2 linked regions of the Arabidopsis thaliana genome follow. The protein of the gene in region 1 interacts with the protein of each later gene in a pairwise test. Each region holds a gene or a part of one and is shown on either strand. Other genes may lie near its edges.

What was found. The genes of interacting proteins can lie anywhere in the genome.
Region 2: the proteins of AT3G21215 (region 1) and BTR1L interact in a two-hybrid assay, tested with the Arabidopsis thaliana proteins (2 studies listed by BioGRID).

Annotation. Positions count from the first base shown.
Region 1 is NC_003074.8:7,440,922-7,447,082, forward strand, and holds AT3G21215 (RNA-binding (RRM/RBD/RNP motifs) family protein), read right to left. Parts: upstream 4,392-6,161; 5' UTR 4,311-4,391; coding exon 4,140-4,310; intron 3,817-4,139; coding exon 3,637-3,816; intron 3,558-3,636; coding exon 3,482-3,557; intron 3,285-3,481; coding exon 3,155-3,284; intron 3,039-3,154; coding exon 2,924-3,038; intron 2,601-2,923; coding exon 2,509-2,600; intron 2,393-2,508; coding exon 2,323-2,392; intron 2,235-2,322; coding exon 2,152-2,234; coding exon of another isoform or gene 2,115-2,151; exon of another isoform or gene 2,055-2,114; coding exon 1,952-2,054; 3' UTR 530-1,951; downstream 1-529. Other genes in the region: MKK5 (MAP kinase kinase 5), read left to right, coding at 4,996-6,042.
Region 2 is NC_003076.8:1,249,742-1,255,513, forward strand, and holds BTR1L (binding to TOMV RNA 1L (long form)), read right to left. Parts: upstream 4,213-5,772; 5' UTR 3,926-4,212; intron 3,785-3,925; 5' UTR 3,783-3,784; coding exon 3,698-3,782; intron 3,394-3,697; coding exon 3,155-3,393; intron 3,050-3,154; coding exon 2,943-3,049; intron 2,518-2,942; coding exon 2,324-2,517; intron 1,824-2,323; coding exon 1,699-1,823; intron 1,274-1,698; coding exon 1,178-1,273; intron 1,109-1,177; coding exon 1,047-1,108; intron 958-1,046; coding exon 861-957; 3' UTR 507-860; downstream 1-506. Other genes in the region: AT5G04440 (RAP release 2, galactose-binding-like domain protein, putative (DUF1997)), read left to right, coding at 5,216-5,474, 5,582-5,772.

The DNA.
Region 1 (6,161 bases):
CCTTGCATTTTTGTCAGGTTTCCTTAGCTTCTCGACAAGGAAAATGCTACATCGTTTTCTTTTAAAAAAAGCAAAATAGTAGTCTCTGTCTTGCTTGATGAGAAAATAAACAAACAATTTGTCTTTGACATGCACGTTGAAAGTTTTCCTCTAAAAACACGTAAACGTATTTGGGCCTAATTCAGAAAGGCCTAAAATGGGCTGAGAACGAGTATGGGGACGGCGTATATCCGTCTCAAAGAACCATTCAAAGCTGAAACAATCAATCGCGACAAGGTTCACTTCTCCCTCTCCAAAATGGTCCGATGGAAAGCCTCAGAAACCAGGCACGTTACTCACGATTCTCCTCCCTCTCCGTGCGTTTGTTCCACCAATTTGATCGACATCTCTACCTTTTGCTTGATGATCTTTACTTGAACAACTTGAAGAGGGGTTTCAATCTTTTACCTCTCAGTTCCGTTTTATATTTTTTTTCTTCTTTTTATTAACCTCCCAACTCTTTATCTTGTTTTTCTTGACAGTTCTGCGCTCAGACACACCTGACGTTTAAGAATTTTCTTTTAAGACCATGGTTTTGTGGTTTTAGATGTTTTGCTTCTCTGGAAAGTTGGTCTAAGGAATGCACAAACCCTTTTGTGCAACAAATCTTTTTCTTTGTTGTCTACAGTGATGAAAGCTTGAGACTCGCCAATCATAATAATGAAAACATGTTTCTTACTTGAGAGTTGAGACACTCCTTTATCGATTCTTCTTGGGTTGTCTCTTGGGTTAATTATATTACCTACCTCTCTTTACAGCAAATTTACCATGGTTCGAATTCAGAGAAACAAAACATGAAACTAGGCCCTAGAGATCCTATACCTCAAAATCTGATAAGTAAGCGACCAATTATACACACATTGTTCTTGAAAATGGAAGAGAAACTTTCTCATTTGAAGAATCACTAAATTCGCTTCTGGTTTTCACATCCAGAGTCAAGTAGCCCAAAGCCGTACAGAAACATCAGTTAGAAAAGAGATAAGTTGGATTGGATAAGTAGACTCCATTGTAAAAAGATAGGCTCTTAGGAACTCCTGGCTCTGTTCCTGGACGTCCGAAGATGACCTTACCTCAACTTTGTAGGTGAAACGCATCTCTATTCGAGAGCTTGGGCTTTCTCTTTACGGATTGTCCCTGCATAAGGCCAAGCCAGAGCTGGGAATGTATATATGTTTGCTCAACTATAATAAACCTACAATGTAATGGAATGCCTATCTTCAAATGTTATATCAGCTGTCAACTTCTGACAAAACGGATGTGCTTGTTCATCAGCCTAAGTAAGAACAGAGAATGATCGACATGGGAAATGCTGAAGAATGAAACCGATGTGATAGATCATGAGAGTAATATTCCATGTCTATGCAGTGAAACGAAGTTGATCAAACCCCTCTGGATGTTATCATGTTATGATCTAATGTAATGGTATATCAGCTAACATAGCAAATGGAGTTTCGTTAGGATGAATCAATCATGAGAGCAACATTCCGTGTCCATGCAGTGAAACGAAGTTGATGGAAGGCCTCCGGATGTTATCATGTTATGATCTAATGTAATGTTATGTTTTTTCCTAGCTAACGTTTCATTAGGATGAATCGATCAGAATGATGAAAATGAATCCCACAAAGTGATGTATTAAAGCCGCAATAAGATAAACAAATAGCAAACCAAACTCCTATATAATTCAAACAATCATCAAAAACCACACTGCGAATGCATGTAGCAGAGCTAATAGAAACTGAAACATGTTATATGTTGATGAGGTCACACTATATGCACCCAACACATGACAAAGCAATGCTGATGCTTAAAAATGTCGAGAATGGAAATGGATGAAATGCAGACTGCCTGGAAGATGCATCGTATTCGTGCAGTTGTTGGGAGATAAGGAAGAGAGTACGTCCCCCTTCAAGGCCTACTGATATGTCAGGGCTCCTTGGGCTCCATTAGCACTCGGAGAAGGAAAGAAAGAATAGCCGCCACCTTCCTTTCTCTTCCCATATGGATTCTTTGAATATGTATCATTGGGTTAAGAAGAATCAAACAGAAAAGAAAAAAGAACTTGGCATACTGGAATATTAAATAATCAGAAAGAGTAAAAGTATATAAGGATATTGGATCCTCATGCCAATTGAACCAGAACTTGGAATGACAGCACCTTGCAAATTATGGTGAACATTTGTGGCACTATTGACATCCTGCAAGTCCAGATAGAAGAATTTAACAATATGCTAGAAGAATATTTTCTGTCACATATACACAGATGGTGAAGGTCTCAGAGTTAACCTCGAATTCAATAAAGCAAACTGTATGCCTTTCTTGTCTCAGAATCTTCATTTGTTTGAAACCAGGTTGCCTGCAAAATGAAAGTACAGTTTACCGCAGAATTCTTGAGAACACAGGTCTACAAAAAGGCCAAGATCTCAAGGAAAGCAATGGACAGGAGTCTCACTAAAGGGAACAGATACTCACGCACTCAACAGGCTCCTCAATTCTTCTTCGTTTATATTCTCCCCAAGATTACCAATAAATAGGGTATTGCAAGGTGGATTATCCTTAATATTCTGCAATTGAAAAAAATTTGAAAACAACATGAGACATATATCAGATCACCAAACCTAGGCTAGATATTCATCAAACTAGGTACAAAATTTATCAAACAATCAGAAACTTTAGCAAATTCAGAGCAGTAGACAATGCATTTAAATTAGGCAACAACTATTGTTCCACAACACAACCACCAGAGAGTATAGCATGTAAGCTAATTAGAATGAAGTTCGAGATTGTAATTTTTAGGCAAGGAGAGGCAAGTACAATATGGATTCCGGGTATATAATTGCACAACCACCATATGATAAATAAAATGATGAAAACAGTGCAACTTCACCTGGACAGGCACATAAGAACTAGGAGCTGCTATAGGTGGGGGCGTAGGCATTGGTACAGGGGGAGCATGATAACCTGCATAGGGATCATATGGTGGAGGTGCAGGTGCCATATATCTGAACCAATTTATCTTCTTGTCAAATAAGCAACTTAACATAAAACGGTGTACCAAATACACATCGTCCAATTTCTACACAGCATATGAAATATGAAGGAGAAGCAAATGCCTAACCCATGAGGAGGTCCCCACACAGGAGGAGGTGGAGGATGGAAAGGAGATGGACTATACACAGAGTGTGTGCAGTCACCACCAGTTCGTAGGCGCTTACTTTGATCATAAGCATTTGAATCCCCAACAATACCTACAGAATAAAGATTGAGTTCAAAGGTTATATATGGTTTGTGATATTAACAAAGGAAGTAAGAAACTAGATAAAGGGGAGAGTGTAGTGAGACCCCGTATAAATGCACAAAACTGTATCAAACATGCTTCAGTAACATGACTAATGCTTAAGATAGATAAAATACAGCCATTTTATGTCATAAAGGTAGAGCTAACCTCTTTTAACAAAAAGATTCTTCTTGGCCATCTCTGTATGTATCACAGACTTTGACTCAGCATCAAACACCATATGCTGCATGCCAAGAACAACATATGTCATAATGTGAAGACAAAAAAGGATCTGAGTCAACAATGATCAGAAGCAGACAGACCTGAAGGGTATCTTTGGCTGCCATTGCAAACTGAGCTGTGGAGAAAAGAGCAAACCCCATGGGCTTTTCTCCCTTGAAGTTCACCTGAGAAGCCTCGTAACCAGGCAACCATCTCAAGAGATTCAAAAGCTCTCTCTCTTTTACATCATCGGGAAGCCCTGCGATGAAGATTGTCCGCAGCTGAACAACAGATTCAAACTTGTGTAAGAGATCACGTTTTCCCAAAATCAGAAAACTCCAACTACATGACAAGATAAGAGAACCTTTCTCACTTATGCAACAGGTCATAAGTGAGATTTTAGTAACAAACTTAAAAATCATTCTTATCAAAAAGGTCATAACTTTGGACAATTTATCGATTCCGTAGCAAAATCAAGCTAACATTGTATATCAAAAAGCAGGCAAATTAAAACCTCAACGTAAACAAAAATCAAGCAAGCCCATCTCGACAACACAGCACAAGAATCACCGATATGTATAGAGAGAAAGAGAAAGAGTTGAACCTCGTCATAAGGAGGACGATTATGGTTGTCAACTAAAACAGGAGGAGGAGGAGGATGGTGATGAATGGGCGGCGGATGTGGTGGAGCAGCTGATGATACTGCGGCTGGAGGAGGCGGCGCACCTGCCGGCGGCCACTGCTGGTGGTATGGGTGGATTCCGGCGCCGGCCATGAGATAAAAAAAAAACCTAATTACTCAGAGAGTCAGAGATTGATTGTTCGAAAAAACTTCTGCGGAAGAATTGACGGCAAAGAAGGCAAACTTATTTTTTAAGTCACATGCATCGCACGTGAACACTGTACCACTTTAATTTTATTTCTTTCTTTTTCTGTTAAAAACTTTAAAAAGAAAATTAGTTTTTAATTTTTTTAGAATTATAATTACTTTAAGTTTTTCTTTTTTCAATTGTTTTTATTGGAAAGAAACTTTAATCTGTATTTTCTTACTTTCTAAAAATATTAAATACCTAACACCAAATTTATAGTATCTAAATCCACGATCTTAAACACTCTTAATGATATTATAATCCAATTCAGACCCGACCAAACAAAAAACATGGTTAACGTGTAACAACACAGAGCCACACAAGTGCGAGTGTATTCCACGCTCTTTCCATCAACGCGTACCTTCGTCTTACCATTTTAACTTTTTTTTTTTTTCTTGTTTCTTACAATCATTTTCACAAATCTCTTCGATGAAGCTTCATTCTCCTCTTGATTTGATCTCTTTGAAAAACGACGAATCAAACAAACCCTAGAGTCAAGTCAATCATGATGATAAATACAAACCTGGAAGATAAAGAATCAACCTTGTGAAAAAAAAAAAAAACTTTTGATTCCCTCTTCTTCTAAAAGCCATGAAACCGATTCAATCTCCTTCTGGAGTAGCTTCACCTATGAAGAACCGTTTACGCAAACGTCCTGACCTAAGCTTACCACTCCCACACCGCGACGTCGCTCTCGCCGTACCTCTCCCTCTCCCACCTCCTTCTTCCTCTTCATCCGCTCCGGCGTCTTCCTCCGCGATCTCAACCAACATCTCCGCCGCTAAAAGCTTATCCGAGCTAGAACGAGTGAACCGAATCGGAAGCGGAGCCGGAGGAACGGTTTACAAAGTAATCCACACTCCGACGTCACGTCCTTTCGCTCTCAAAGTGATTTACGGAAACCACGAAGATACCGTGAGACGTCAGATCTGTAGAGAGATCGAGATCTTAAGAAGTGTTGATCATCCAAACGTTGTGAAATGTCACGATATGTTTGATCATAACGGTGAGATCCAGGTTTTGCTTGAGTTTATGGATCAAGGATCTCTTGAAGGAGCTCATATATGGCAAGAACAGGAATTAGCTGATCTCTCTCGTCAGATTCTTAGTGGATTAGCTTATCTTCATCGTCGTCATATCGTTCATCGTGATATCAAACCTTCGAATCTTCTTATAAACTCAGCTAAAAATGTGAAAATTGCTGATTTTGGTGTGAGTAGGATCTTGGCACAAACAATGGATCCTTGTAATTCATCTGTTGGTACTATTGCTTATATGAGTCCTGAGAGGATTAATACTGATTTGAATCATGGTCGTTACGATGGTTATGCTGGAGATGTTTGGAGTTTAGGTGTTAGTATCTTGGAGTTTTACTTGGGGAGGTTTCCTTTTGCTGTGAGTAGACAAGGTGATTGGGCTAGTCTTATGTGTGCTATTTGTATGTCTCAGCCACCTGAAGCTCCGGCTACGGCGTCTCAGGAGTTTCGTCACTTTGTTTCTTGTTGTTTACAGAGTGATCCTCCTAAGAGATGGTCAGCTCAACAGCTTTTGCAGCATCCTTTCATACTTAAAGCTACCGGTGGTCCTAATCTCCGTCAAATGTTGCCGCCGCCTCGTCCTCTTCCTTCTGCCTCTTAGTGTTTCTACCATTTTCGTCTTTCTTGTTTTTCAATTTTTCGTAGTTTTTCCTGACATTTTTCCATAAGTTTTGCATACCCCAAGCAAAGATAATGAGAAGAGTAGAAGAACAATGTGGT
Region 2 (5,772 bases), on another chromosome or scaffold:
GGAGAAACACCAACATAAAGTTAGAAACCGAAATGGCGGCGATGACCAGAGCTGCCGGAGAACGTGAATGGTTCGGAGCCGGAGAGGGAGAAGGATTGTGAGAAGCGAGATCGTATCTCCAAGTGTATATACTAATTAAAAAGTTTGGGTCAATTACGTACACTAGCAAAGGATATGGGTGCTTCTGTGTTTAGTACCCAAATATTAGGGGTACTTCAGAAAATAGAAAACTGTTCCTCGTCATATATATAATTATCAGAAGATACAAGTCTTACTTGTAAATAGTAAAAGATCCGAGCACTTGTAGTTAAATAAAAGTTTCAGGATCCATAACTTGATATTTACTGAAGAGTCTGGGAGAAAATTTACAAGATCTGAATTATGTAAATAGAGAAAAGTAAGGGTCTGATGTGTAAACAGCAGAAGATAAAACTTTTACGGAGTTGATTTTTGAAGAGCTTAGTATTTACCATCCTCCTAAGTCCTATACCGACACAACACGTTTTGGTATCATGAACTGAAAATAGTTGATAAAAGAAAGAAGCAAATGCAATGTAATGGCTGGTTATTGTAAATTGTTACAACAGAAAGAACTCAAGGGAAACAAAACTTCAACAAATTGCAACAAAGTTATTAAAAGAACAAATGAAAATAGTACTTCTCTAACTCCAAATCTGCTTCTCTCCCAGAGAAAAACACATTATATAATGTCGACATATAAATAAAACGAAAGAGAGCTCCTAGAGAGAAATCTCTGCCTCACTCAAAGATGATTAATGATCCCCATCCGATAGCTTAAGCCTCCACAAATGAAGTCAACAGACCAAAGATAGGAACCGAGATGGATTCTCTTAACGGTTTCAATCGGTGGTTCTCTCTGTGGCTGAATCAACTTTCTGTTTTATCATTGTCTCAGCTTGTTGGATTGCTCTCTGTGGCCCTGTGATACTCACTTTCCTGTCCATATTTTCCATTTATATCAAGTTAGACATGAGAGGTATCAAACACATTGTTCTGTTGTAACTCTCCAATAATCGTAACTTTACCTATCAGTGGTTCCAGACATAAAATCACCTCGGTCTGATATTTTAATTCGGGCACCAGTCATCTGCGGGAAGAAAAGTGGGTTTTAAGTTTCAGTGGACCGAAAGAGTTTTAACTAAGGGTTGCCAAATACCTGAGTGATTTCCATGATGTTTCTTCCTCCACGTCCAAGCACCAATCCTATATGCTCATCCGCAACACCAATTGTCACCGTGGTACTAGCTTCTTCCTGGAATATATGTCAAAACACAGCTTAAGTAATGTAGAAAAAAACGAATCTCTAGCTGTTTAAATACCAAAATGCCATCTTATTATCACAGTAAGACGTGACAGGAATTGCATCTCCGATCAAATTTATTTTCGTAGTTTGGTTCATTAAAAGCATCACCAATCCTTTTAATAAGCCTAATTCCTAACAAATATCAGATGTAGATTTCACATTGGTATCTCCTAAAGTTTCTGTAGTACGAATTGATCCAAACAATCATAGTAATAACATCGATAGGGATTTTTCATGTATATATGCGTTTACATAAATAGGGTGGAAGATATGACTTGTAACACCATATTATCCATAGTAGTAACACAAATAGAGATTGATTCATATAAACGCATAAATACTAATAGGGTGGAAGATTGTGAGAAGAGGCTAACCTTGTGGTTTTGATACTTGCCTCCAGAACCGTTGGGTGCGTAGTTAACCGAATTGTATCCCGCTGTTGCAACAGAAGGAAGCGCATACGCATATGGAGGACCATGAAAACCAGAGTAGAAAAGACCTAAAATGCCGAGTTTAAAGGAACTTACAAGAGAATTAAGCTACAACAGACAACCATCATACACAACCCTCAAAATGGAAAGAAGGTCCATGTGAGATGAAAGATACTAAATGCCATTACTATACCTTAGTTGACATCTGACAATCTAAAACTCAGTAGAAAATCCTACTCTAATCTTACATTTTTATCAAGGGATATGATCCAGCATCTACACTTGACACTTAGATTGTTCACATGACCCTAAAACAAGAAATCAAAAACCTTGTACTGTGATTTCTAGCCTATCTACGCCTGTCCATGTGTAGTGACTAAACAGTCTTAAAACAAATAATTTGATAGTGTCAATTCAATTGTCAAAGGAAACTCCGGAAATGATCTAACCATTTACTATATTGCTTTCCAACATGAATAAATGCAATCAAAGACATACAGAACACGATAACAAAAGAAGCTTCAAGGAGGATAACAAACCTAACTAAGCAAGTACTGAGTTGATATACCTGCATATGAATATGGGGAATGCACATTCTGGGAGTAATGATCGTCCTCAGTAAGCTTAGCCAAAATCAAATCGATTGCCCGCATCTGCTCCTCGAAGGTCCCAGATAATGTCACTAACCTATCGCTCAACCCATAAAAGGTATTATCCAGAGGGGATATCTTAATACCAGCTTTAGATTCCTCAATGAATGACCTTTTTGCAAAGAAAGAAATGTCTTGAGGGTTAGTGACAGCAGTACAACTGAAATCAGTATTCCTTGGAAAAAAACATAAAAGCAATGCCATATTCTAGAACTTAAAAGGAACTAGATATTCCATACGCATAAACTACTGCAATCTGAGTCATATCTAATACTCAGAAACTTTGTTCACCTGTTATATATAGGGTCTTGACTTGTTTATGCATGCATTCAGAGAAAATAATTGCTCTCTTAAAGATATGAACCAGAGAAGATTTGAACATAGAAACAATGCAAGAACATAACCAGATACATTATAGATGATATTTGGTGGTTAAGCGTGCTGTAGGAAATGGTGTCAAAGGAAACAGGCTATGGATTATAGAAGGTCTGAAAACCTCAAAGAAACTGCTGCAACAAATACAGAACGGAAACTTACTTGATGGTGGCCCCTCCTTTTCCGATTATACCTCCACAAGAACTGTTAGGAACCACAAGTCTAATTCTTCTCCTAGGCTCAACCTCATTACCATCTTCAGCATGAAGCTAGCAAACAGATAGAAAAGTTAAAACTGATTTCATTGTGACATACTATATAAACTAAATAAACGCAACTGTGACATGAAATACAAATTTGTCAAAAAAGATTACCTCACTGTGCAATTTATCAAGGATAAGTTCCAGTCCATTGACAACTTCTTTGATTGATCCCGATATCATAATAATTCTGTCAGTCGTCCCCGGGAAAAACTCTTGATTACGTGAAAGCTGAATCCTTGCCCCAGACTTTGCCTGAAATTCAGTGATGGTCGAGCCACCTTTCCCAATGACGGAACCAGCTGCCGCATTGGATACAAGAAACCGAATGTGTGTTGGCTTCTCAGCAGAATCTGAAAAGAGGAAAACACATTAGATAGTCAAATAGATAGCATGGTTCACTAAACCGCATCAGTATTGAGCTAATCATTGAATTGAAACAGCGTAATTTAACCATCCTTGGAAAATGAATCTATCACACAGGAAACATTCTCACAAGTTTTCATCAGCAAAAAAAGACATTAATCACACATGTCCGTTGACATATCACAGAGTACTTAAACGAGATCCGATTCACGAATGTGACGAAATACCGAAACAATTGAGTCAGAGTCGAAGGAGAAAAAAAAACAGAAGACCAGATCGGATCGAAAATACCAGCTTCGGAAGAATCATGCGGTTCAGGGGATCTCTTAGCCAGCTCTTCCGGTGAACCTGCCGCATATGACTCAGTAGACTCCATTGCTGCTACAGAAGATAAACGGCATTAACCAATCGACATTATCAATTCAATGAAGAGAAATAAGAACGAAATCGGAGAGAGAGGAAGAGATAAGACTCGTTCATCGAAATCTGAGATTGAGAAGGAAAAATTCCAAAGTTTACCTGTCTTCACACAATTCGAATCTGCTCCCTCCGTCGTCGTCGTCACTTGGCGCCGGTGGTTAAATGAATCTGAGCAAAACTAAGTCTCAATCGTCGTATCGGTGCTTCCTCGGCTTCTTCGTCTTTGTCGCCGAGCGGTTTGTGAAGTGAATGAAGGTGGCTCTGGTGTCCTTCGTCTATCTATCCACTAGCCTCCCTTATTCTATTATTTTTTATTTTTCCTAAATTTAATTTTATTGACCGCCTCTCTATTTCTTTTTTAATTTTTTTTTCCTCTTTCACAATCATCTCACTTTTTATTTGTTAAAATATCAAATCAACTCAACTACAAAATGTGTTAACATCAAAATGTGCTACGAAATAAAACATAATTAGAAAATAAAACACCAAAATTATCATTTTTCTACAATTTTAAAGCAATAGAATGAACATGATAATAATAAAATAAAAATGGCAATATGTGTCTTTTTCTCTCTATTTTCTCATTTTAGAATTTGATTTTATTGCATTGGTTTGATTTATTTTCATAGTTTGTTAGATCTTGAATTGCAGTAAATATATGTTTATCAAATTGTACGGTAGAGTTGACGAAGACGATAGATACGATTAATGGTAATGCATGTTTATGATTTGAATCGGTCGATTTAATAATGTAAGTTCAATATTATTATAAGGTGATTTTGGTTTTTTAGCCCGGCAATAATGGGAAGTGGCTCTTTAGCCAAAATAAATAATGGGAAGTGGCAACCTGTGTTTTCTTCACGACTACAGATTCATTGGTTAAAACCTTCAATAAAATAATCATGTTATTTTGTGAACTTTAAAATTAGTAATCAAATTCCTCACACATTATTATTTTCAATAATTAGATAACTCTTTTTCGCATTTTCTTAATTAATTTTGTACTCTTTAATTAGGAAAAAAACTAATTATTTTAATCAAAAATACTGACAAGTGTTATGGATCCAACCGAGTCTGGTTACATGACATTTTCATATTTACTTACTCAAATTGCGAAGGTTATTCGTTGTTGGCCCAATATATACATTTCACGGGCTCTTGTTGGGCTTGCTTTCAATATTCAGCGTATTTTAACTGTAGCGAACGAAACAACGTCAGCAGGCTAACATGCGCAGTCGAAGCAGGTGGTGATGGTGGTGCCACCTCCCAAATCTTCGTCGTCCCAATAATCTTATCACGTTTCTCTCACTCTCTCTCCTTCGCTTGTGTGTTTAAGCTAAGCCGTTAGTCGTTAAACATCTCATATCCTAAAACGCCGTCGTTTTAGCTATGGCGTTGAGCTCAGCTACGCTTAGACTTACCTCTCTGTCGTTCTCGGCGAAGAAGACGAATCGAAACCCTAGAAATCCAGCTCTCTCCTTCACCATCACTAGCTCATCGTCCTTTGACGAATCACCCAAACCTTCTTCTCTCGCCACTTCCTCTTCTACGTCACCTATACGCGTCTCCTCTAGTTCTACCCCCAAAGCTCGATTCATCGCTCGTCAGAAACAATCCGTCTCCGTTCGTCAGCTACAGCGACCTCTAAGTAACTTCAGCGCGATTCTCTCTGATCTAAATTTCTGTTTCCTGTGGATGATTAAATCTGGATCGGATTGTTTGATTTTGAATTTGCTTTTTGTTTATGGTTTGCAGTTGAGTATATGAGCTTACCTGCGAGTCAGTACTCGGTGCTTGATGCGGAGAGGATTGAGAGAGTTGATGATAACACGTTTAGATGTTATGTTTATACGTTTAAATTCTTCAACTTTGAAGTCTGCCCTGTTTTGCTTGTCAGGGTTGAAGAACAGCCTAATGGCTGCTGCATCAAGCTCTTGTCCTGCAAG